6 linked regions of the Coturnix japonica genome follow. The protein of the gene in region 1 binds, or shares a complex with, the protein of each later gene. Links are inferred from orthologs where the notes say so. Each region holds a gene or a part of one and is shown on either strand. Other genes may lie near its edges. The genes, in order: E2F4, RBL1, TFDP1, LIN54, LIN52 and MYBL1.

Region 1 (4,219 bases):
AGAAAGGAAAGATGAGAAACGGAAGAGCTGATGATGAGACAGCTTGGAAGAGGTGAGCAGTCAGATGAGGGTGAGATTATGCACAGCTGGGGTGGGCAGGATAAGCAGCTTCCCCATTGAACTCTCTGAGGCAAGCAAGCAGATGTAGGTTGCAGAGGGTCAGGAGAGGGCAGGCATTCACTGAAGCAGAAAGCAGCTCTGAATCCACGCTGCTACAGCTGAGAAGGCTGCCAAACTGCACTGGGGTATTTCTGGCCCTGCAGCTATCAGTGCAATTGCCAACAGAGAGGAAACAGACTCCTGCAGCTTTTTTGCCACTTTTGCCCCTCAAGGATGTGAAGTCACAACAAGAAGCACATTCCCTTCTGTCCTGCTCTTCACTCCCTCCTCTTTGCTCTCCTCCTGGTACAAGGCATGATGCAGCTGAGGGCAGCCCATGCTCAGCCCTAAGTCAAGATGTGCTGCCTCCTCTTTCCTAGAGAAAGGAAAGCAGCTGGCATAGGCTGACAGGACTGCAGCATTATATCTCTATGATGCAGCACCATTTCCTCACCTGTGAAGCACTTGCAGATATCTTCGTGTGTCACATAAGCTAGCGTTTGGAAGGTTAAGGACAACAGCTGCAGTTTCCTGCGAAGACGGAACTCAAAGGGCACCTGGAGTTTCCTTCCTTTCTGAGCACAAGAAACGCTGCAAAGGAAGCTATTGTCTATACTGGGCAGTGCTCATCTGCTTCCAAGGGGGGGATGACCTCCTTATCCTTTCAGAGCAGCAACATGAGGTGCCCCCAGCAGAGCACTGCCAGCCCAGCCCCAGCTCCTGCCTTTCAGCCCTGAGGAACGGCCGGCTGACAAAAGGATATCAGTTGTTCTGCACGTCTTCTGTGACGTTTTTGATGCTCTGCTGAACCCACATCTTCTGCTTCTCCAGCTCCTGTTCCTGCTGCTCCAGGTCCTCTATGTCTGCCTTCAGCTCGATGAGTTTGTGAGCAATCTCACGCGTGTTGCAGCCAGGACCCACCCCTCTGCACAGAGCAAACAGCAGTGACATGCATCAGCTAACAGAGCAACCAAAACACCCGGCTTTTGAGAGCTGCCACCTTCCTTCCTTCCCCCTTTATCACACATCAAGGCCAGAGAATCTCACCTGTACCCGCCCTGCAGCCTCACACCATCTTCCAGCACAGCACCATGCAGTGCATCCTCCTCCATCCCCCACCTCCAGCACCATGAAAGGTGTCTTTTCTAACTCGAGACATGGAAATAGTTTGCACCAAAATACGAGCTCTGCTATAAAAGCAATGTGCCATACATACTTTAACATTCCTCATTACTACCATCAGCACAGCTCAGCACAGGCCACTGATAAACCAGCAGAAAGGCACCCAGAAGACAAGACCTTGGATTAGAAGGGACCCATGAATGACTTCAACTCCATCACTCACTTCCATTGGATGCTGTTCTTTGATTTCTTCTCAATCAGCCCAATCCCTTCCAGAACATTCGTGATATCATAGATCCGTCGTTTCTGTCGCACAGCCAAGGTGTCTGCAGCCTGCAATAGAAGTCAGACACTTAACTCCGAACTCTCAGTCATGCTTCTCTCCTTCCTGCCTATCAGATTAACTTCTGACCAATCTATCTGCTCACCATCCCATACAGCTCCTCAGCAGCAGGGCAGGGCTACAAGCCTGGCAGCCTAAACATTCAGTGCTTCTCGAGTGTAAAGAGAGATGAGAATCTGAAGGTAGAGGGCTGCCTGAACGACAGCAGTTCAGCAAAGCTGACACTCAAAAGGTTTTTTATACCTAAAACCTGATGCCAGCTGATAGAGAATGGACACGAGGTCATGAGTCCTCTGGAAATGGATACAGGGAGGACAGAGCACTGGAACAGGCTGTGCTGTTTCCTTCTCTGTAGGTATCAGAACCCACCTGGATGCTTTCCTGTGCATTCTAATCCAGGGACTTGCTTCAGCAATGGGGCTGGGCTGCATAAACTCCAGCAGCCCCCTCCAACCCCAATGATCCCATGATCCTGACCCTTTGAAGGACCCTCCCCTCACATTCAGGAGGCACCGATATTGCTTCACCAACCAGACGGCAATGCAGAAGTAACAAGACTTTAACTGCTGCCAGTCACACAGTGGTGTCACACAGAGGGCAATGCACAAATGACTTGCCCCTCTCACACTGCAGGACTTCAGTGACCACGCACAAACCACACTAACAAACATAACCCCCATTGAACTGACAGCTTAGGGAACATCGTCCTTCTGCCCTAATCCAAGTAGACAGCAGTTTGCCATAGGAGAGGACAGCATAGCCAGGGGACCACCCCAGCCTTGTACTTCCAGCACAGCTTCATAACCCAGGGCTGCCTTCATTCTGCTTGCAGGGCATGGAGCAGAGTGCTGCTCTGTCTGATGGGAACAGAACTGGAGGGTCGCACAAGCAGAGGGGCACGGAGGGGCACAGCGTGCAGGCCGTACAGCAGCAGCAGAGCAGCCATATCGTTCGACCCGCCGTCCCCACGCTCCCCCCCCTCACACATCGATGCCCCCGGCCGGGCCTCCCCATCCTCCCACGGGCCCCGCACCAGCTTCAGGTCCAGCACTCCGTCCTTGGCCTCCTGCAGCAGCGACACGAACTTGGTGGTGAGCAGCCCCAGGCTCTTCTCGTGCCGGCTGGGCGCCCCGGCTCCCCCGCTCCCTCCTCCCGCAGCCCCGGCCGGTTGCTGCCCGCTCTCCGCCATCTGCCCGCCGCCGGCTCCAGGCCCGCCGCGCTTCCGCTTCCGATTCGGGGGGTATGACGGGAGCTTCCGTTGTGGGGCGGGCGTGGAAACCACGTGGGGGGGCGAGGACGGGCGGGGGTCGGGGCCGGGGGTCCCAGCCCCATGGTGGGCTGCTCACAGGGCTGCGGGGCTGAGCCCGAGCCCGAGCCCACCGCTGCTCTGGACGGGCAATGCCCTATTGCCTCATCGTAACCCTATGGAGGTTACCCGGCGGCCCCGGGATATCCCATTCCCCGTTAACCAAAGCATTCATGGCCAACCCGTGTCCCCGAGCATTGCGAGCCATCACCGCCCCCTTCCCGTAATGAATGAACGCACCGAACCCCCGCTGGGCATCCAACGGGGTGCCCACAGCTCAGACAAAGCGACAGGGCAGCTCAGATCCTGCACGTAGCAGAGCCCCGGGGCACCCAGCGGCCATAGGGGGCACCCAACGCCATAGGGGGCACCCAGCGGCCATGGGGGGCACCCAGCGGCCATGGGGGGCACTCAGCAGCCATAGGGGGCACTCAGCGGCAATAGGGGGCACCCAGCAGTCATGGGGGGCACCCATGGTCACCCTGCCCCATAGGGAGCCCCGCACCGAGTGGCCGCTCTTTATGTCCTTCCTCCTTCCCCTGCTCCCCCTCCGGCCCCGACATCCTGAGCGCGTCCTCGGGAACACAATGAGCCCCTGAGGATCGCCGTGTGCCGGAGGAAACGACCGTCGGCTTCCTCCGTTCGGCCCAGCCCCGCTCGTATGTGCACAGCGGCGTTGAGACCATGGGCATGTCGGCGAAGGACGAGCGCTGCGCGAGCCCTACAGGTAACGGGGACGATGCTGCAGCCCCCGCGGTGCCGGGCAGGGGAGGAGGGCTGCCGCTCCGTGCTGCTCACGCTCCCCCATCTCCTGCTTTGCCACCGTCTCCCCACGCTGCAGCCCTTCCCTCTGAGCTCCCCGCCTTCCAGGGATGCGCTGCTCTTCTTTGGGAGCCCCGAGCCCGAGCGGTGTCCTTGTGGGGGAGCTCAGGTGGGGGCAAGGTGGCATCTCCCGGGGGGGTGCAGGGAGCCCCAGTTCTCGGAAGGGGGGAAACAATGAGCCCTGAAGATGAGCTGTGTCTCAGCCCTCAGCCCTTGGCTTGGCTTTGGACACTTCTATTTGGACTCTGAAGACAGCCCCATGCAGCCCATTGGGACACCAAGGAGTCCAGGAGCCTGGGTGTGCTTGTACCAGCGTGGCTCCCTCAGGCAGAGCCTCCAGGAGTGGCACACGGACCAGCAGCTCTTTGTGCCACCTTCTGACTCGCTGCCTTCCCAGGTGGCACGAGACCCCCGTGGGCAACGTGTCCTTGTCGTGCTGGGTCACCTCAGGTTGGCACCCTGAGCTGGTGGGTTGGATAACAGCTCCTCGGGGCAGCCTGTTCACTGCATGGCCCCATCCGTGGTAA
Region 2 (3,930 bases), on another chromosome or scaffold:
TGCTTTGTGACCCTTTTGCAACCCGATGTGCTCTGTGCATTACTTGCGCTGTGAGGCATTGGCAGCTCCTTCTCATTTTCCATCCTATCCCAAAGAAACGCCGACGTTCCGCGGGTTGTCCTGGATCCCCACACAAACACATCCCCACCAAACGCGCTAACAAATAAAGGTCTGTGCTCTTGGATGTGGATAAAAAGAAAAGGAAAAAAAAACAAAAAACCAACAAAAAAAAAAACCAACAAAAAAAAGATTTAAAGGTCAGATTTTTATTTTTTTAATTTAGTGACGAGATGATGCTTATCTTTCAGACTTGGCAGAGCCTTGCTACAGATGTATATAATTTTTTTCAGCAAATATATGTGAACGTTTAATTCACCTGACTGTGATACCGGTTCCTCGCTTTTCTCTCGGCACCAGCGCCGAGGTCCCGCCGTGCTCCCGCAGCGGAGCGGCCCAAGGCACGGCGGGCTGATCCCGGAGCGCTGCGGGGCGCCCGGGGGCGGAGGCGGAGCCCGGAGAGCGGCCGCGGTACCGGCCGGCATCGCTCGGTGCGCTCGGGCAGCACCGCTCTGCGGGACGGTCCTTCTCCCACTGACACCGCGACACCTGCACCGGAGCCCGGCGAACGCCCGCAGGTGCCGAGCAGCGGCTCGCGGTGTCGCTCCGGCTCAGGGCGGCGCCGTTACTGAGCGGTCGCCGTTCGGTTCCTCGGGCGGACGGACGCGATAAGGGTCAGTTCCCGGCGGTGCGTGGAGCCGTGCGGGGCTGGGGCAGCTCCGAGGTCCCGAGCTGCTGCCCGAGGAGCCGCTCGCACGGCGCCATGTGCGGACGGTCCCGGCCCCGCAGCCCCGCTCGGCACAAGGTGACGCTGTGGGCAGCGCCGTGACACACGAGGCCGCCCCGCACCGCGACCGAGGACGGCGGCTCTGCGGAGCGGCGGGCACAGCGCGCACATGGGACGGGCCCAGGGACGAGCCATCCCACGGACACGGACACGGACACGGACACGGACACGGACACGTCCTGGTTCCGTCCGCCCCGCCCGCTCCCCCTCCGTTACACACACAGCCCCTCCCAGCCCCGCGCTCCCCTCCCGTTTCCCGCCCGTTGGCGCTCACGGCGCCGGAAGCGGCCGCGCCGTTTCCGGTGGTGGGTTTTGGCGCGCAGAGCAGCTCGGCGCGGTGCCGGCCGGGCCGGGTCGGGCCGTTGTTGGGCCGCCGTCATGTCCCGCACGGAGCCGCTGCTCGAGCCCGAGCTCGGCGCCGCCGTGGAGCGGTTGTGCCGGGAGCTCAACCTGGACGCGGGCAGCGCGGCCGAGGCGCTGCGCGACTTCACGGCGCTGCGCGGCACCTACAGCCTGGAGGTGGGCGGTGAGGCCGGGCGTCAGGCCGCGACGTGGCGAGTCGGCCCCGGCCCCACGCGCGGCGTTGCCTTGCAGGGGGACGCGCAGCACTGGTTGGCCTGCGCGCTGTACGCCGCGTGCCGCCGCCGCGTGCTGCCCACCGTGGGCTGCGGGACCGTGGAGGGGAACGGCGTGTCGCTCACCCGGATCCTGCGCTCCGCCAGGCTCAGGTGCGCAGCTCGGCCCGCGGGGCGGCGCTGAGAACGGACGCGCGTTAAAGCCGATAATAAAGTGGCGCTTTCCTCGTCGGCTTTTCTTTCTTTTTTTTTCCTTTTAAGTCTGATTCAGTTCTTTAGCAAAATGAAGAAGTGGATGGACATGGCCAACGTGCCGCAGGAGTTCCGGGAGCGGGTGGAGCGACTGGAGAGGAACTTCGAGGTGTCCACCGTCATCTTCAGGAAGTTCGAGCCCATATTTCTGGATGTCTTTCAAAACCCCAACGAGGAGACCTGGAAACCCCAGCGCAGCAGGAAGCAGAGGTACTGCAGAGCGCCGTGTGGCTTTGCATGGGTTTACAAGTAACGGGAACGTTTGTTGTGCTTAGAAAATAAGGCCGAGCTTTGAAGTGACTGAGTGTGAACGCAGGGATGGTGCAGGGCGGTGGCTGAGGCTGGGCTGTCAGTCCCCCCGTGCCTCTCAGGGTGCTCCGTCCGCGGGGCTCCAACGTGCGGCTGCTTTATGTGACTGCCCGTATGTGAGTGCCAGGTGAGCGCTGCCCTTCTGTGGGAGAAAAATGCAGACAATGTGCTCATCTGTGTGACACTGTAACTGCTTCTGGTGTCTTCCTGATGCACAGAGCGCTTCTAGATTCAAGGGCTTTGTCCTTGTTCTGCATTGACTGTGTGGTTGTCCCTGGTTGCTCTGATGAGGATACGACCTTCAGCAGCAGGAGCTGAGCTGGCTCTTTGCTGGGGGTTTCTGCTGCTTCACGTGCTGGTCTGGATGCAAGGGGTTAATTTGTGGTAACCCGCTCTGGTGTAGCTCCTTGTGCACAAATGGGAAGGGAGCTGCTGCTGCTGCAGCCAGTTCTGCTGCGTCTGCACAAGGAGAAATGTCCATGCACTGTTAATGTTCCTTCATCAGAGCAGCTCTCATTAGCGTGACCGCACTGTTAGCTTCTCTGTCAGGTGGTTTTCATTCATTTCTTCTCCTAGACTATTCACCAGAAGAGCTGCAGTGCAAGTTGTGGTTGCATGTTTTGAAGGGATGTGTGATGCATTAGTAAAACGTTTAGGAGAAAGATGCACTGCAATTGAGAGAGCCCTCAGCATGGCTCTGCGTGCAGCTCTATGAGACTCCAGTTGCAATTACACCATCACCAAAGCAGTGTGCCTGGGGCACCAAGCACAGGCAGCTGTTGGCTCAGAGCAGTCGGTGATGCTGTGCCAGAAGCTCTGCAGAGCTATCCAGGAGGCTGCAGTAAGAGGAGCTGCTCTGTGTGCCCGCAGCTTACAGTGTGCCTTAGTTTGCACTCATGAGGTGATGGCTCTGTCTGTTGCTTTGAGCATGGAAACAGAAGGAAACTTGCTAAGCAGTATGTTTCAGCTTCCTGGAAGCAGAGACTGATTCCCACCCCTCTCGTTGACAGGCGGGTGCTGTGTGGTGTTAAGGATCTCTTCAACTTCTGCTGGACCCTGTTTGTGTACACTAAGGGTAGGCTTGTGCTCTGCAGCCACGTGTTTCGCATGCGTTCTGAGTTACAAACTTCTGTTGCGTCGCCTGACATGATGTGCTGTCTCTTAAAGGTAATTTCCGTATGATTGGGGATGATTTAGTAAATTCCTATCATCTGCTTCTGTGCTGCTTGGACCTGGTTTTTGCAAATGCCATTTTGTGTCCAAATCGGAGAGATTTGCTAAATCCGTCGTTTAAAGGTAGGGTGGGGATCAGTTATTCAAAATGAAATACACTTTGTTCCTTTGGTTATTCTTCTTTAAGTAAAGATGGAGGTTGGTTGTTTTGTTTTTCCCCTTCGCCCATTCCCAGGTTTACCAGCTGACTTCCACGCACTAGAGATGAAAGCCTCAGAGGACCCCCCGTGCATCATTGCCACGCTGTGTGAGCTGCATGATGGGCTTCTTGTGGAAGCGAAAGGAATAAAGGAGCACTACTTCAAGCCATACATTTCTAAGCTGTTTGATAGGAAGGTTCGTATTGCTATTTGAAGGATGTGTGATAGCGCTCATACTGACGGTCCTGTCTTGAACACTGAAATCCCGTGTGTATGGAGGAAGGTGCACTGGTAGGCAGAGGACTTGTGTTGGTTCAGGTCTGTTCCTCTGTGCATTTTGGCAGGAGCGGAGCTGAACTCTCCCTTCTAATGATGAGTGCTGTAGGGCCCCCCTCTGCTTTGGCTTCTTATGTCAGTGGAGAATCCTTGCTTCCTTGGCAGTATGGAAATTGCAGGTGATAACCTGTTTTAATTAAAGATGATGTTATCTTGTGGAGTAGCTGTCATGATTGTCTGGATCCTGGTGTGTGTCATGGGCTAAACACAGTGCTCTGAATGAGGAGGTTGGGGTCACAGG
Region 3 (3,500 bases), on another chromosome or scaffold:
TGAATTTCCTCGGAATGCAATTTCCGCATGAATGGATTGTTTGTATTTTAATTCTTCTGTTTGTTAGTCTTTGAAATTATTCTAGTTAACTACTAAAACCCAATTTACATTAATATCTTACACTAAGCCACCAAACTAGAAATAGCGTGTTTCTGGTCATGGAATACAATGAAATACATGGGAATTCAAATAAATAAATGAAAATACAAAGCCAACAGAGGCTGGTAAAAATCAGATAGTTGTGGAAATTGCAAATCCACAATTGCCTTTTCTTTCTGCACGCCCTTCCTGATTCTCATTCTTACTGAATACATAACACAATACATTACAGTGAACCAGCAGTACAGGGACTCAGGGGATTACTGCTTCCTACAAAATACTAGGTGGAATCTGGAAAGGAGCTCAAGTTGCAATTTAGCAACTGTGCCAATGCAATTAAGCCACCTACAGGGCAGGGCAGCAACGTTCAAGAAAGGCAAGACAAAGATCATCACAAGAGATGACCTGTTAAAGTCAAGCTATTTTATCTGAGGACTACTGCAGAAAAACATTCATTGTACAATACTGAGGAGTACAGTATGAATTATTGGTCCTGTTAACGCAAATTTTTTTTAAACATACAACTACAGGAAAAAACCCATCATGGCTCATAGAAGGTTGCTGCCTTTGCCATAAGCAACAGTCAACACCATGGTCCCAGTGCTACCTTTATCCCAAAATTAATCTCTAGCCTTCTTAGAGGTCTCCCATTCCCCAGTGGGACAAAACGAGGAATGCAGATGTAAGTTACCTTGCCCTATAGACAAGAGTACCTTGACTGTACCTGTAGAATGAGTTCTTGTAGTTGAGATTGTTTTTGCTTTATTCTTTCAAGTCTTCTCTGTTTCTCCACCTTAAGACAGAGAACAAACTGATTAGTTTGTAGGTTTTAAATAGTGTTTTCTATCAACATTTTCTCCCCTTAAACTGTTTAAATACCAGATAAATGAAGGCAACAAGTGCATCAGTCACTAATGCACTGCAGAAGATGCTGAGATCTACAAAGTCTCACATCAGTACTACCAATGGAAACTGTAACAAAGAGAGGAGTTAAGATATCCAGGAATAAAGCAGAATATAGAAGGAAGAGCATAAAAACATCTTTGTAAGTGGAAGCTATGCCTCAAAGAGTTACCCACATTCTAGGAGGGAGGCAAGGAGCATGTAGACCAGAATGATCTACTTAGTATACCCTGCTGATATTGGAGCTATCGGAGAAGAGAAAGATACTTAAACAAATGAAGCTGCTTACATTCCCACAGTACTAAGCACTGATTAGATCTGCTGCATTTTATACAACTAAATAGCAATATATATATGTGTGTGTATATATATATATTCAAGCAATCTGGAAAATTCAGATGCATATTGCATAAACATAAATTAAAAAGGAAGTCAGAAGGGACCAAACTATTCTACTTTTTATCTCAGAAGATCGTATGCACATGTAGAATAAAAGCAAATCCAAGTTTTTATTCAAAACAAATCCATTGTGAATTTCCTATACATTTACCTCTAAATTCTGACATTCCTGAGCCGAGTTTGTAGGTAGACCAATCCATTTGATTTCCTTCTTCTCCTTAGAGATAATGTTCATGGCCATGAGGACATTTAAGGCATCATAGACACGTCGTCTAATATTCTTCTGGTCATAAGCCTGCTGTAGACATAGAGCGTTAATCAAAAACATGCCTGACAAAAACGTCTGAAAATAAATTACAGCAAATGTGTAATCTTGGTTATTATCTGAACTGTTTAATTAAGCAATGGGAGAAGAAATCTAAGCCTCCCCACTCAGTTCACACGTAACTAACCTCCCATATACTCACTGATTCATTTGGTGAAATGTGATCATCAGGGGTAGTGAATTCTGCAACCAGCTCGTCTGCCACCTCATTGTATGAGGTCGTTCCTTTTCTTTGTACCTTCTCACAAACCTTCATAGAGAAATGACGTAAACCTGTGCCGCTCTTCTCTCCTTTTCTGTTCCGTTTCCTAAACATACATATGATATGTTTTTTAAGAAGATTTGAACTTTTGGAATACTTAACATCTCTTTTCCAAGCACAGATACAAAAGTCCAAGGTCTTCCCTTTTATTCTACTCTTCTCCCCTTCCCAATGTCTTTTTTGTATGATTCCACCCTTGAAGGTAAACAGACTGTCTTTCCCACACTGCCAGCATGAAGAGCATATACACTATCACGGCAAACATTTAGAGCAAAAGTTCTAAGTAATTTATTAATCCTTTGTAACTTTTATTTTGCTCACCCAACAGACCACGGCGAAGAATCTGCAGTCTGGTTTTGTGATACAAAATGTGTGTTAGGTGTATGTGGACTTCCTACCAGGATAGTATTTGGCACTGAAGGTCTCTGAGGTGTACCGATAACCTACAACAAAGATAAAAATCATTTAGAAAATAACCATAACTATCCCAGGATGTTCAGATACTGCATTATTCATGACACATTAGTCAAGAACCAAAAAATGCTTACTTTCTATACACTCGTAACAGAAGCCTTCAACTTAGACACACAAGCACAAAAACCTTCAGACCGCACATCACATGGTTAAATCACTCCTTAAGCAATAATCATTTTTATTTTATCCTTCCAAAATGAGCTTTTCATGCTTACTGGGTTTCTTACAATGCTTCAACTCTCATTTAGACAAGGTCCAAGGCAAACAAAACAAAAAATCCTATCAAACTACATCTAAAGATGTTGCAGTAAATTACTGTTAAAATATAAATGTACAGAACAAGAAGGTTTGAAAATGAGTAAAAGCTGAGAAAAAACAGTGCAGTGTCAAGGAATTGTTTCCTACAGGCAGACTCTCACTGCAGAGCTAAAAACAAAGTATGAGTACATTAGAAGTGAAGAAAAAGAATGGTGTACCCTTCTCAATTACTGAGAAACTACAGCTACACTATAGCTATTTTAGCCTCATAATAATCTGCTTTTATGCTATATGTTTATATCATAAGGCCCATGCTTTCACATAAAGGGTATGGCTCAGATCTTGGTTCATGTATTATGCAAATACTCTATGTGAGGGATAGAGAACCTTAGAAATACAGTAAGTATCCTTAAGAAGCCTAATATTCCTATCAAATATTGAGAAGTCTTCACATAATGAACAATCATATGTTAAGACTATTCTGTTTTTCTATAGAACACAGAGGAATAGATAAATCCTACAGGCAAAAAGGAGCTTCTTCAATGTGGGGTTACTTGCTTTTATTTTAAATAACTCTTTGAAATCTAATTACTCTCACAAGTGCCTTATTCAAAGGTAAACAAGTATGTACTGACAATTAAGGAAGACCCCACAGCCCAGAATTTCAGATTCGTCTAAGAATTATTTAGCATTCTTATCGTCTCCTTAAAAGAAATGCTGATAACCCTAGGCTTTACTCACAAGTTCACAGAAGATCATGACTTTGCATTAAAATAGCAC
Region 4 (3,500 bases), on another chromosome or scaffold:
TTACTAAATGGGCAGCCTGAGGTTTATTCACACTCAGTAAAGGGATGGGCATTTCTTGTTTTCTAGCAGCGTACACTAACCACAAAAAACCAATGCTCAGTTACATGTCTGAATACGGCTATGCTTCGCACACACTAGATTTCACAGAAGACAAGTGACTCCAGTCACCTGTGTACTCCTGGTCCCACAGCTTATGCAGATAACATTCAAAGATAACAGGAACATACATGCCACACGCATCCGAAAAAGTACATTAGAGTCAAGCAAAATGGAGGACTGCGTTAACTTACTTCCCTCCACCGCTGCTGAGTGCTGGAGTTGGCCTTGTTAGAAGATCTGAGATCTGGGAAGATAACTTTGTCTTCGCTGCTGTCTGCTGCTGGACCCTAACTTCTGCAGCATCTGCTAAGTGCATCAATGTCTTTCGCTCTGGGCTTTCTTCAAAATTTTTACAGCCAACACATTTGCATATGGAGGAACACATGATTTTTGCCTGAAAGAAACAAAGAGAAGATGAGAAACCCATCACAACTTAAGACATTCTTTATGACAAACCATGGAAGAAATGTCATTTTGTCTTAGTGTCTTATTAATTAGCCACTAAAAGAAACCCTGTCTTCTCTTCAAATTCTCTTACTGAAGTGAGATGCCTTTCCAGAATTTATGCTTGGATCTGCTGCAAATCAACAGTTTCCCACTCATGTCCTTCTTTCCCAATCTGCTGTTTTCAATAGAATTGAGCAGTTAAAACTATTAGAGAGATCAGGCTGCTACCATCTCCACATCTACAGACTGTGTTGCATCAGCAGTCTGATTAAGCTTTTCCCTTTGGCTTCAACAGACATGATGAGTGTCTGTGTAATACTGTAATAACTAATAGAGCACCTAGGGACATGGTGCTGTATGTTTCTTTCTGTAGGATTTGTGGAGTCCTTTAGAAAAGACTGCTCTTTAGTAAAGGACAAATCCAAGCCTGAGTTCAGAGTTGCCACATGTTTTTAACTGAAGCTCAGGACAGAAGTGAACAACTCTGCAATGCATACAGCTTTCTAGATGTAAACCATCAGTAGGAAAAATAGACCAAAATCATTATGGCAGAGTTTCAGCACGAGGAAGGGACAAAGCCCAACAGTGAAGTTGCAGCACCAAATGGAAAAAGCCGAAGCCTTTAGGATGACATAATGCTTCTTACCTCATAACACTCACAGTAGTTTTTGAGGCATCCCGAGCGCTTACAGTTACACCCTTTGCTGTGTCGCCGATCTGACTCTCCTTCCTTTCCTTTCCCTATTTTGGGCTTGAAGGCTTCAGGGTTTCTGTCAAGGCAAGCCTGTCAATGCAGACCCAAACACCCATCAGACTTCAGAAGGCACAAGCTGCTTTTATCCCAGCTATCTTTGGAGGCAAGCTACACAGCCAGTTTTCCCATCACAATTCCACTCAGAAACATGCTAAATTTTATATGAATGGAACATGCTGTTCACTTCAACAACCTCAAAAGTAAGAAAAAAAGACTTCTCACCTTTATTGCTTTTTGTCTATCATTTTCATGGTCCAGGTTGTTATAACAATTTGTACAGTTGCAGTTATTGCAGAATTCACCATTTGCAAAGCAATCACAATACCTGAAACAGAAGACAGAGAAAGCATTAGCAAGCATGACATTACCTTGTTGTAGTACCAATGGCAGCACCAGACATTTCTAGTCTGGTGACACAAACACACCAATAAAGGTCTTGGACATCTTGTACCAAGCCCCATATGAACAAGTGGTATAAGTCTCACTCCCAGGACTAACTCTCCCAGTGCATGTCTATTTTGGCACCATGAAGGCAACAAGTGGATATGTTGTAAAACAAATTGAAGAGTAATCAACAGAACAGCTAAACCTCTTCCTGTGTACCTTGCTACCTGTGAAGCAGACAATTTTGAGACTAGGAAGTACAGGGGACACCCCAACACACAGTGTGGGGTCTGTTACATGGAAACAAACCCAAAATGCAATAATTAAACATTTCTTAAAGGAGGTTCAGAAACCATTGAATCATTTTCCTTTGAGAAACACACCACTGATTTTTTTCTTCTTTGTATAGCACTCATGGAAGCACAGATTAATATTTCCTCCTGATATTGTACAGAAATCCGCATACTGACTCTGCTTAGGTTAAAAGCAACAAAACAACTTAAGATGTTTTATATCAACTTGTTACAAACACTAAATAGAACAGTAAAAAAAAAAACAAACAACAACCAAGAGGATGACCAAGTCTTAGACTGCTTAAGAATCACTTGTCTATTTGAGTCTTTAAAACAAACACCGTTTCCCCCTCCTGAAACATAATAAAACAGGAAAAAAACAGCAAACCAAACAGCCCAATTTTGCTGTAGAACTTCACACTGTGTACCATTATTCACAGGATTTGCTGAAGTACAGCAGACATCCACTGATGATGCTGTTGGATGTAACGTCACCGACAGCAAAAATGCAACTCCAACTGCTGAGCAGAACTGGCTCAATCATGCACAAGGGTGCAAGGTTAGAAGTTCATGATATGGTAGGGTCTATACAGCTCACATAAGCTGCACAATGGCACATGCATGGCAACATCCCCATCAACGTCAACAATAACTACGCTACAAGATAGATGTAACATTTCTTACAGACAAAAACATTTTGATTCTTGGGATAAATACGGTGTCAAAAATAAGGATTAAAAATAACCAGAAGTACTTACAATTTCAAACATAAAGACTTTGTACAATTGCAAGGCTTCCGGGGCCGATTTGCAGATTCAGAAGGAATTATTCTATAGGTGAAAAAAGAGAAAGAAAAAAAGAAAGCATCTATTTATACACAGTTTGATCAGTTTCTTCCTAATTTAAATTCAAGTAAGTGGCTTGTACTACAAACTCTAACAAACCTTCATGTTCCCTTTCTGTTAGGTTTCTGACTGACAGTAAGTGACCATTATACATAGTGTTTTCCCATTTCAGAAAGAGCTGCTTATTCACTGTAAATTTGTCTGCATGTCTCTAGTAGAAATGAGGTTTAAAGCTAGAGGATGCACCTTAACTGCAATGTGCAGAGAAAGCTTCCTTAGAACATCCCTATCCATAAGAGGACTAGGTCCAAAAAAGGTTCATAGAACAGGATCACATCTTTACCTTTGCACAAGCTGGAACAAAATAAAGATAGAGTAAATCCAGAAACAATGGATAAGCAAGCCAAAATATTGCCTTGGGTTTAAAGATGAATTTCATATCAAATGTAAGCTTTAACTGCTCTTAAAAACTAGGATTTTGTGTCATTAATCTCTTTTGATGAGATTCATTCAATCCCTATCCAGCAATTTCTGCACATTTCTGGAGATTAAATCAAACCCAATCATCTGAATAGCTGCAGCTGGATTAGGGATTAGTTTGCATCATAGTTTTGGTTGCAGCATCAAAAAGCACCTTGGTGTACACAGCTTCCAGCAAACAATAACACAAAAACAACA
Region 5 (4,020 bases), on another chromosome or scaffold:
CAGCATTTAATTATATATGGAAGATTTCCTAACATACATGTATACGTCATGACACACAAAGCACTCAATGTGTTACAGAGATAGACTTTGGTGAAAATAAATTGCAAATACAGTGAGACGTTATATAAATCGAGAAAGCAAACCACCAGCCAATCTTATTATTTGATTAAGATTTCCATTGTTAAAGTATAACTTCTACTCCACTAAAAGCTTTATTCAATCCTTGTAGATGTTGGCACTGAAAGTAAATTTCTACCTATGGAGAGAGTGTTCAAACAGGCTTAATGATCTATTGATAAGAAATATGTATTCCAGGCTCACAATCACGAGACTTCAAAGTTCAACTGCTTTTTGTTACCCACTGAAATAAAGCTGAAAAAAATCTTTGAGCCTAAAAATTTTCAAAGCCTCATGTAAAGCTCAAGAGTTTGCTAAAACTGAAGTCTAAGACAGAGCAAAATAAAGCAGTAAAAGTTAAATGCATCAGTACACACAGATACTGTTTAAAGGAAGCACAATCCCTTTGGAATCTTCAAAGCCGGATCAGCACATTAACAACAAAATCCTATATGCAATGACAATAAAAAAAACGCATCTTCCCCCCATCCCCACCCCCACTCCCACCCCCACCCCCCTTCAAAAAAGGCACTGACATAAATTGGTTGTTGGTAAGCAGGATGAAGGTCAACTTTAGAATGCAGTGACAGCACCTCCTGCTATAGCTGACTATGGAAAATAAATAACTGCAGAAGCCCAAAGTTACAAGAGCACTAATGGCTAACAGAATCCTGCACACCAGTTACATTTTCACTCTGTAGGCAGTACACAAACGCACAGTCACAGAAGTGGTGGCACAGATACTCTGTGACAGAGTGTTAGCACCTAAGCGGTAAATGAAGCAAACTGAGTGATTTACCTAAGCCAAAGTTAAGTCAGAAATTGATGGGCCACTAGAAAACACTGGACCTTAGCATTCAAAACAGAAAACAAGACCTAAAATAAGAAATTCTTTTAAATGTGCTCTATTAGGCTCCACTGCATCCATGATAGACTTGCTTAGAGCAGCACTCTTTTTTTCTTCAGAAAATTCTCTATTGCACTGTCATAATTGTGTGACATTCCCCACTTCAGCAAACGTACTTTTCTGACTGTAAGTGCAACATAAACACACACTTCAGTGGCAAGATTCATAATACAGTCATCACATCTGTGCACAGAACTCACATTCATCCAGTCCCAGCTGATATGCCAAATTCTGCAGGCCACGAACCTTTTCCATCAGGTTGGCTGTAGTGAGGCTTCCCAGCTCTAAAAGGAAAAAGCGTGATTTTTAACACTGTAGCCCTCTAGTGGCAGCTTATGTTTATCGCTTCACAGAGCATTCAAGTTATACTTTGAACAGTATCGGTTTACAGTGTACAGCATATGTTCTTCAGCTCTCACAACTCATAATAACCAGCAAGACATTCTAACTGTTCCAAAGCAATCAAAAAAAATGAAGAAAAAATAAACAGCAGGGATTTACTGCTTCAAAAAGCAGTAACAAGGAGAACAACAGCATTTTTGTTATCAGTATATATTCTTGTGGGACCAACTAAAGATAGAGGCAATTGACAAGACAAAGACTCCTAAGCAGAATCATTCAACTGGAGATGTTCTGCAGGTTAAGATGGTCTGCAGATTAAGAGGAGCATCCCCCATCCCTTCCTTTCCACAAGGCTTCAGAAGGTCTCTGAGCTCATCTTTTTAGTAGGCACTGAATTCCCACCCGCAGACAGCCTCAGTGCCCATGGAGCCCATACTCACCCTTTAACATATCGATATCATCATTCTCCAGTTCAGCCATCCATTTGGGAGGCGAGCTTGTAATAGGCTGGTTTGGGGGGGAGGAAAAAGAAAAAGAACAAAAAGAAAGGAAGAAAAAAAAGCAAAACATTCTCAGAGAAGTACATTTTTAGCTGCATACAAAGCCTGATATAGCATTTACACACACAGAATTGTAGGGGTTGGAAGGGACCTCTAGAGATCATCGAGTCCAACCCCCCTGCCAAAGCAGGCTCCCTACACCATGTCACACAGGTAGGTGTCCAGGCGGGTCTTGAATATCTCCAAAGAAGGAGACTCCACCACCTCCCTGTGCAGCCTGTTCCAGTGCTCCGTCACCTATTTACAACCAGTTACACTGAAAGAATAAACGCGATGGCTCCAGGCACCCTACAGGGCTACTCTAATGCCTAGAAAGCTCTTCCTGGACGAGTTGGGTGTTACTGCAAGTCACAGCCAAAGCCAGCAGTAAGAGCAGCACCCCCAGGGCTTAGAGCAGCGCGTTCCTGCGCAGCTCGTCCCTCCCGCAGTGCCTGTATGACCCGCAGTGCCGTGGTGTTGGCATCTTACGCTTTTGAAGGAGGCGGCGAACTCGGCGACGCCGGGCACTGCAAGAGAGAACCGAACAGCGCCGGGTGAGCGCGGGGCCGGCCCGGCAGCCCCGCCATCACCCCAGCGACACGGGCCCGCCGCACTCACTCACACTGCTCAGGCCACAGGTCCGGAGAAGCCCGGTCGAGCTTCTCGAAGCTCAGCAGAGAGGCTTCCAGATCGGCACCTACAGCACAGGGAGTAGAACGGAGGTGAAGCGGCGCCCGCTCAGACCGTACCGCAGGGTGACGATGACCCCATTCGCGCGCCTTACCGTCACCGGGAGCCGCCATCTTGCCTGCGTCACGTGACCTAAACCCACAGCCCGCGGGAATCCACCCACGTGACAACAGAGCCCGAGCGCCTTAGTGCTCGTGGCCAATCGCTGCCCCGGATGGGGGGGCGGTGGCGGGAAAGGGGCGGGGCGACGCTCTCCCTGGCAGCGATTGGCTGGCGGCCGGCAAGGCCCCCTCGGGGGGGGCGTACAGCGGGCGGGGGGGGCGCTCGTCTGGCCAATGAGCGGGCGGGGGCGGGTCCCTGTGCTGGGGGCTCCGCTCGGGGTCCGAGCGCTGTGACCCTCGGCCGGGATGGCGGCGGTGGCTCGTGGCGCTTGGGGCGGGCGGCGCGTGGTGCTCAGGGTGAGGCGGCACACGGACACAGCGCTGCGGGAGGGGCCGCGGGTGGCACCTCGGGGGGCGGTGGGGAGGAGGTGGGGGGTGTGGAGGAGGAGGGGAGCACCGTGTAACCGGGCTGCTCTGTGTCCACATCCAGCTGCCGCGGACAGCCGGGGCTCCCTGGATCGCTTCGGCCGCCGTCTCCTCCTCCTCCGTGGTGAGTGGGGCCGGGCAGCTCTGTTTGCTGTTGGGCTGGAGGGGCCCGCGGCGGTGGCTCCGCCGGGCCGAGGAGCAGCTCGGATTTCCTGCTCTCCCTTCAGTTCTGAAGATGGTGTTATCCCGAGTGCAGCCCGCGGCACGGCTCGTCCCGCCGTAACGCCAGCCACATCAGCACTTGTCATGTCTTATTCTTATTTTAACCCACCGCCGCGTTCCTTCACAAGCCGAGGCCTCGCTTATCCATTACACTCTTCGCAGCCGTGACCTGTCCGGCTCAGCCCCATTTATTTTCCTGATTCGTCCTTTGATCCCTCTCCCACCATCACAGCAGCATTAGCATCCCTGCCCTCACCAGGTGAACTGCCCGGTGGATGAGGGAAAGGCTGTTGGCACAGTCTACCTAGACTTCAGCAAAGCCTTTGGCACTATATTCCAATCTCTTCACTTATATGGCCCCAGTTCTTCCTGCATGTTGCAGCACTAACTGCATCTTCTACCCCTGCTTTTTCTTCTCCATACTTACCTGAACTCCTTAACTAATGGGCAGAATTCTTACCAAGTGAATTATTAACTGGTTTCTTTTAAATATGTCTGTGAACTGCAGGGTTTTTATGACTTAGCAATTGTAGTGACTGAGTAGATTAAAATAGTTCTGAACATGATTCTATCAATGTGTATCTTCTGTAATAGTTTTTAGACGGGGTTTTGACAATTTTAGCCTAAATCAAGGGGAAAAAAATGATGGAGTACAGTGGGAAATAGCAAAAGCCTG
Region 6 (3,951 bases), on another chromosome or scaffold:
CTGGGTAAGAGTCAGCGGGGCGGGAAACCAGGTAACGATTGCAGCTCCACGTAGGTCACACTCCATCTACTGGAGAAATCCCTGCTTCACAGCCTTAATAAACAAAGCCTTTCAAATAGGAAGCACAGGGAAATGCTTCATGGAAACAACACTCAAACTTACACGTCAGTGATTCATGCTGGACAGCACAAACTTAAACAAGCGAGGAAACCTAGGCCTAGCATCAGGAAGGGCAGATCCTCTGTGTTAGTTACAGCAGAGACACAGAGGAGACTCACAGCTACTTATACAGCCCTAATTATAGTGAACTCCACACCACGTTTTAAGTTTCACCCATTTTGTTATCAATATAAAGCACAATATCACAAGTTCCTATTCAGAACTAAATTTATCTTCCCAGTCAAGGAATGCATTATTCCCTCCCCACCCCCAATAAATAAAGCCTTGCTCAGAAATGAAGCAAACCTGTGCTGGTGTCCTAACAACTATTAGATGGCAGAGCTCTGAATTAATTCTAGAACCCGCTGTTCGCTCACACAGCCCATAGAGCAGCCAATTGTGCCTGTCAGTTAATGCACATTAACTTCTTTTTTTGCCTCTTTCCCACAGGCTCTTGACCAATTTCAAGAGCATACCTTGGTATTATAATCCTAGTTCATACCAAGCACACCATACAATCTACTTGTGTGGTGCTCAGGGATATGATTTAGCAGAGGGTTGTTAAGAGTTGGGGTACTATGGTTAGGCTACGGTTGGACTTGATGATCTTCAAGGTCTTTTCCAACCTGGGTAATTCTATGATTCTACTTATAACCAAGGATTTGGCCTGGCAGTTCAGCCCACTGCCAGCAGCACCTTCCTGCTCAACCACTACACAACAGCCAGATTCAAGCACCAAGACTTGGGTTATGTGAAAAGCCACCCAGATTTTAAAATTATTAAAATATAATAAGAAAATAATGGAGGTGAGGGTCGCTGGAAGCCTCGTACCCACAGTTCTGGAGCCAGTGCACTCTGCAGGCAATGAGTCACCTACACCTGGCTCAACACAGGAGCTGCTGCATCATCATCAGCCTTGTGCTGAGCGGGACATGGGACTGTAAGACCGACACAGAAGGATGTTTGGGACTGCTGCAATTCCAACTGGGAACAAAAGGCTTCTCAATGAGGTTGGACTGTTCACCTGGCAACTCACAGCAGCTGTGAAAGTGGACTTAACACAGCATAGTTAGAACCAAGTTCCATCAAACGAGTCACTGGAACAAGGAAGTGTTCCATGAGCTACGTACAGGCCGCCTTTAAACATCTCTTAACTCAAGTCTTCCTTTATTACGTAATTCTTATTTAATAAAAACAATAAAAATACATCCCAGTTAAAGTAATAATAATTAAAAAACAACCAAAGAGCCAATCTTTATGAAAATTAAACTTCATTCCATTAGGTGCAAAGAAAATTATAGTTTCTTTTCACACCACACTTTAACTAATGACCTTGAAATCACCTTCTGGGAACTTGGAACTACACTGGTTTAGACTGGGCTTTACCATCACCATTCACTACCACAGCGCTCTCCTGGAGCTCCAGATCTCTAGCCAGAGGCTCCTCTACGACCACAGCTAGTTTTATTTTCTGCTGTGACATCAAAGCCCTTCACACTCCTGACAGAGAGAACAAGATGAAGCTTCGTAAAGATGAAACTACAGTTTGCAGGAGTGCAGCTGAAGGCACCCTGCTACAAGCATCACAAACACTCCCTGAGCCGGCTCCTGCAGACCGGAGCCTCTGCCAGCAAAGCCTTCAGAGCACCATTGCTCCTCACACAGCAAGAACTCCAAAGCATCGCTTTCTTGGTTTAGCTGCGGTTTTTCATAAGAAAAGTATCTGCCAAAGAAACTATTTGCGACTTTGAGAACAGCAGCAGCTCCACGGGAGCGCTGCAGCAGCCCCAGGTAGTGCACAAAGTGCCGCTGCTCACTGAGCATCCTTTACTATCTCGGTCCTCGTTCTCCTTTTACGCCGTGCTACCACTTTTTCTATTTAAGACAGGAGCAATAAAGTACTTCTGCCAGACCCACGTTTGAATTCAAAGCGAAGACACACCCATCTCCATATCAGTAAACAACAAACGTATCAGAGCCATCTGCGGCCGCTACCGAAGCCCGTGAGGAAAGCTGTCCCCGAGGAAGGCAAAAAAAGCACCCCGGGACTGTTTGTGTCCCAGCAGAAGGGGATACCCGCAGGAGGAGCACCCAGGCCGGCCGTGAGGGGGGTGAGGAAGAGGAGGGAGGGGGACGGGCAGGGGGCACCTGCGCAGGGAGGGGGGCGGCACCCAGCACGGGGAGGGAGGGGGAAGGCGGGGACGGCAGCTGGCAGCGCTCCGGGCCGGGCGGCGCCGCACTCACCTGCGCGGTCTCTTGGCCATCCTCGGGTCGCAGCATAGGGGGGGCCGCCAGGGCAGCGGAGCTCCCCAGCCCCCGCCCGAGCTCCCCGCCCCGCAGCCGCCGAGCTCGGGCAGGGCGGGGGGAGGAGAGGGGCAACGGCGGCCGACGGAGGCTTCGCGTTCCTGGGACGGTTCCCTCCTTCCCGCGGAGCTCCGCGGCATCCGCAGACGCGCTGCCGGCCGCCCTCAGCCCCGGCCCGGCCCGAGCGCGTCAGGCATGGCTCGGCCGGGCCCTGCCCGCAAGGACGGGGCGCGCAGCGGCCCCTCTCCCGCCCGCCGCCCTCTCTCCTGTCACAGCCGCCGCGGGCTCCGGCGGCGCCTTCCCGCCCCGAGCCGCCGCCCGGCCTGTCTTCGCCTCACCTCGCCTCACCTCGCCCCGCTCTGCCCGGCCCGCCCGCCGCCAGCCGCCCCCCCNATGGCTCGGCCGGGCCCTGCCCGCAAGGACGGGGCGCGCAGCGGCCCCTCTCCCGCCCGCCGCCCTCTCTCCTGTCACAGCCGCCGCGGGCTCCGACGGCGCCTTCCCGCACCGAGCCGACGGCGAGCCCGTCTTGGCCTCACCTCGCCTCACCTCGCCCCGCTCCGCCCCCCCCCCGCGGCCCCGGCTGCGCCGCCACCGCCACAGTCACGGCGGGCTCGGTCGGTGCTGCCGAATCTCGCGCCCAGCCTCCTTCCCGAGCCACCGTTTGAATCTGCGCAGGCGGACTGCCGCCCCATTGGCTGCCGCCGCCGCACGCGACACGGACGCGGGAGGGGCCGGGGGGAGGCGGGGCCGCGCGAATCCTCGCGCCAGCCCGAGGCGGGGGCGGGGGGGGAAGGAGGAGGAGCGGCGGGGACGGCGCGTAACGGGGCCGCGAGGCTCCTCCCAACGACCAGCGCTGCCGCCTCGTAACGCCCGCACCGCGCGGACGGGGACGGAGCAGCCCGCGCGGGGCACAGAAACGGCTGCCCGGCCTCGAGAGGGAAAAAACGGCCGCGGCCCTGTGGGGCAAAATGAAGCCTCCTTCGAGCCGGAATCGAACCAGCGACCTAAGGATTCCCGCAGGCGGCGCCTCTACAGTCCTCCGCTCTACCAGCTGAGCTATCGAAGGGAACTGGCGGCTGGCGCCGTTCCGCCCCTCACAGCTCGGCGGGCGCGGCGGGAACACGGCGTGCGATCTTCTCCTGTGGGGAGGGAGACTGAGGGGCCTGTCACAGTCACGCTGCTTTTGGAGAGCATATTATTATTACTATTTTTGATTATATAATAATAATAATAATAAATAGCTCTTTTCATGCACCGTATGAGAAGCAGCTGCCACCCAAAAAAGTGAAAAGCCACACAGTACCACACATACTTACACACCAAGCTTGTGTGCTTTGCCAACCTTCACTTTCTCCTGGTACATGCAGCCCGAAGCTGTGAAAATTCTAAAGGGCGAGATTATGACCTCACAGCATTCCCCTGGTGTGAGGCGTTGCTACAGGCAGGGGCACGGCTGCACAGCAGGCACTGCTTGCTTGGAGAGAATCA

What was found.
Region 2: E2F4 (region 1) and RBL1 share a complex: the UniProt entries of both Homo sapiens proteins name them as parts of the DREAM complex. The link is inferred for Coturnix japonica from reciprocal best matches to the Homo sapiens genes E2F4 and RBL1.
Region 3: E2F4 (region 1) and TFDP1 share a complex: the UniProt entries of both Homo sapiens proteins name them as parts of the DREAM complex. The link is inferred for Coturnix japonica from reciprocal best matches to the Homo sapiens genes E2F4 and TFDP1.
Region 4: E2F4 (region 1) and LIN54 share a complex: the UniProt entries of both Homo sapiens proteins name them as parts of the DREAM complex. The link is inferred for Coturnix japonica from reciprocal best matches to the Homo sapiens genes E2F4 and LIN54.
Region 5: E2F4 (region 1) and LIN52 share a complex: the UniProt entries of both Homo sapiens proteins name them as parts of the DREAM complex. The link is inferred for Coturnix japonica from reciprocal best matches to the Homo sapiens genes E2F4 and LIN52.
Region 6: E2F4 (region 1) and MYBL1 share a complex: the UniProt entries of both Homo sapiens proteins name them as parts of the DREAM complex. The link is inferred for Coturnix japonica from reciprocal best matches to the Homo sapiens genes E2F4 and MYBL1.

What each region holds. Positions count from the first base shown.
Region 1 is NC_029526.1:1,552,154-1,556,372, forward strand, and holds the start of E2F4 (transcription factor E2F4), read right to left. Parts: upstream 2,801-4,219; 5' UTR 2,754-2,800; coding exon 2,598-2,753; intron 1,555-2,597; coding exon 1,445-1,554; intron 1,025-1,444; coding exon 863-1,024; intron 598-862; coding exon 554-597; intron 1-553. Other genes in the region: EXOC3L1 (exocyst complex component 3-like protein), read left to right, coding at 3,555-3,597. UniProt on the Homo sapiens protein: Transcription activator that binds DNA cooperatively with DP proteins through the E2 recognition site, 5'-TTTC[CG]CGC-3' found in the promoter region of a number of genes whose products are involved in cell cycle regulation or in DNA replication.
Region 2 is NC_029535.1:564,174-568,103, reverse strand, and holds the start of RBL1 (retinoblastoma-like protein 1), read left to right. Parts: upstream 1-1,130; 5' UTR 1,131-1,222; coding exon 1,223-1,572; intron 1,573-1,680; coding exon 1,681-1,881; intron 1,882-2,990; coding exon 2,991-3,055; intron 3,056-3,147; coding exon 3,148-3,276; intron 3,277-3,388; coding exon 3,389-3,549; intron 3,550-3,930. UniProt on the Homo sapiens protein: Key regulator of entry into cell division. Directly involved in heterochromatin formation by maintaining overall chromatin structure and, in particular, that of constitutive heterochromatin by stabilizing histone methylation.
Region 3 is NC_029516.1:123,705,282-123,708,781, forward strand, and holds part of TFDP1 (transcription factor Dp-1), read right to left. Parts: intron 2,432-3,500; coding exon 2,310-2,431; intron 2,035-2,309; coding exon 1,869-2,034; intron 1,700-1,868; coding exon 1,553-1,699; intron 893-1,552; coding exon 824-892; intron 1-823. UniProt on the Homo sapiens protein: Can stimulate E2F-dependent transcription.
Region 4 is NC_029519.1:41,226,681-41,230,180, reverse strand, and holds part of LIN54 (protein lin-54 homolog), read right to left. Parts: intron 2,808-3,500; coding exon 2,736-2,807; intron 1,626-2,735; coding exon 1,523-1,625; intron 1,331-1,522; coding exon 1,193-1,330; intron 494-1,192; coding exon 291-493; intron 1-290. UniProt on the Homo sapiens protein: Component of the DREAM complex, a multiprotein complex that can both act as a transcription activator or repressor depending on the context. In G0 phase, the complex binds to more than 800 promoters and is required for repression of E2F target genes.
Region 5 is NC_029520.1:34,237,034-34,241,053, reverse strand, and holds the start of LIN52 (protein lin-52 homolog), read right to left. Parts: upstream 2,801-4,020; 5' UTR 2,709-2,800; coding exon 2,690-2,708; intron 2,603-2,689; coding exon 2,528-2,602; intron 2,433-2,527; coding exon 2,395-2,432; intron 1,874-2,394; coding exon 1,807-1,873; intron 1,309-1,806; coding exon 1,225-1,308; intron 1-1,224. Other genes in the region: ALDH6A1 (methylmalonate-semialdehyde dehydrogenase [acylating], mitochondrial), read left to right, coding at 3,003-3,053, 3,187-3,246.
Region 6 is NC_029517.1:104,296,962-104,300,912, forward strand, and holds the start of MYBL1 (myb-related protein A), read right to left. Parts: upstream 2,801-3,951; 5' UTR 2,604-2,800; coding exon 2,404-2,603; intron 1-2,403. UniProt on the Homo sapiens protein: Transcription factor that specifically recognizes the sequence 5'-YAAC[GT]G-3'.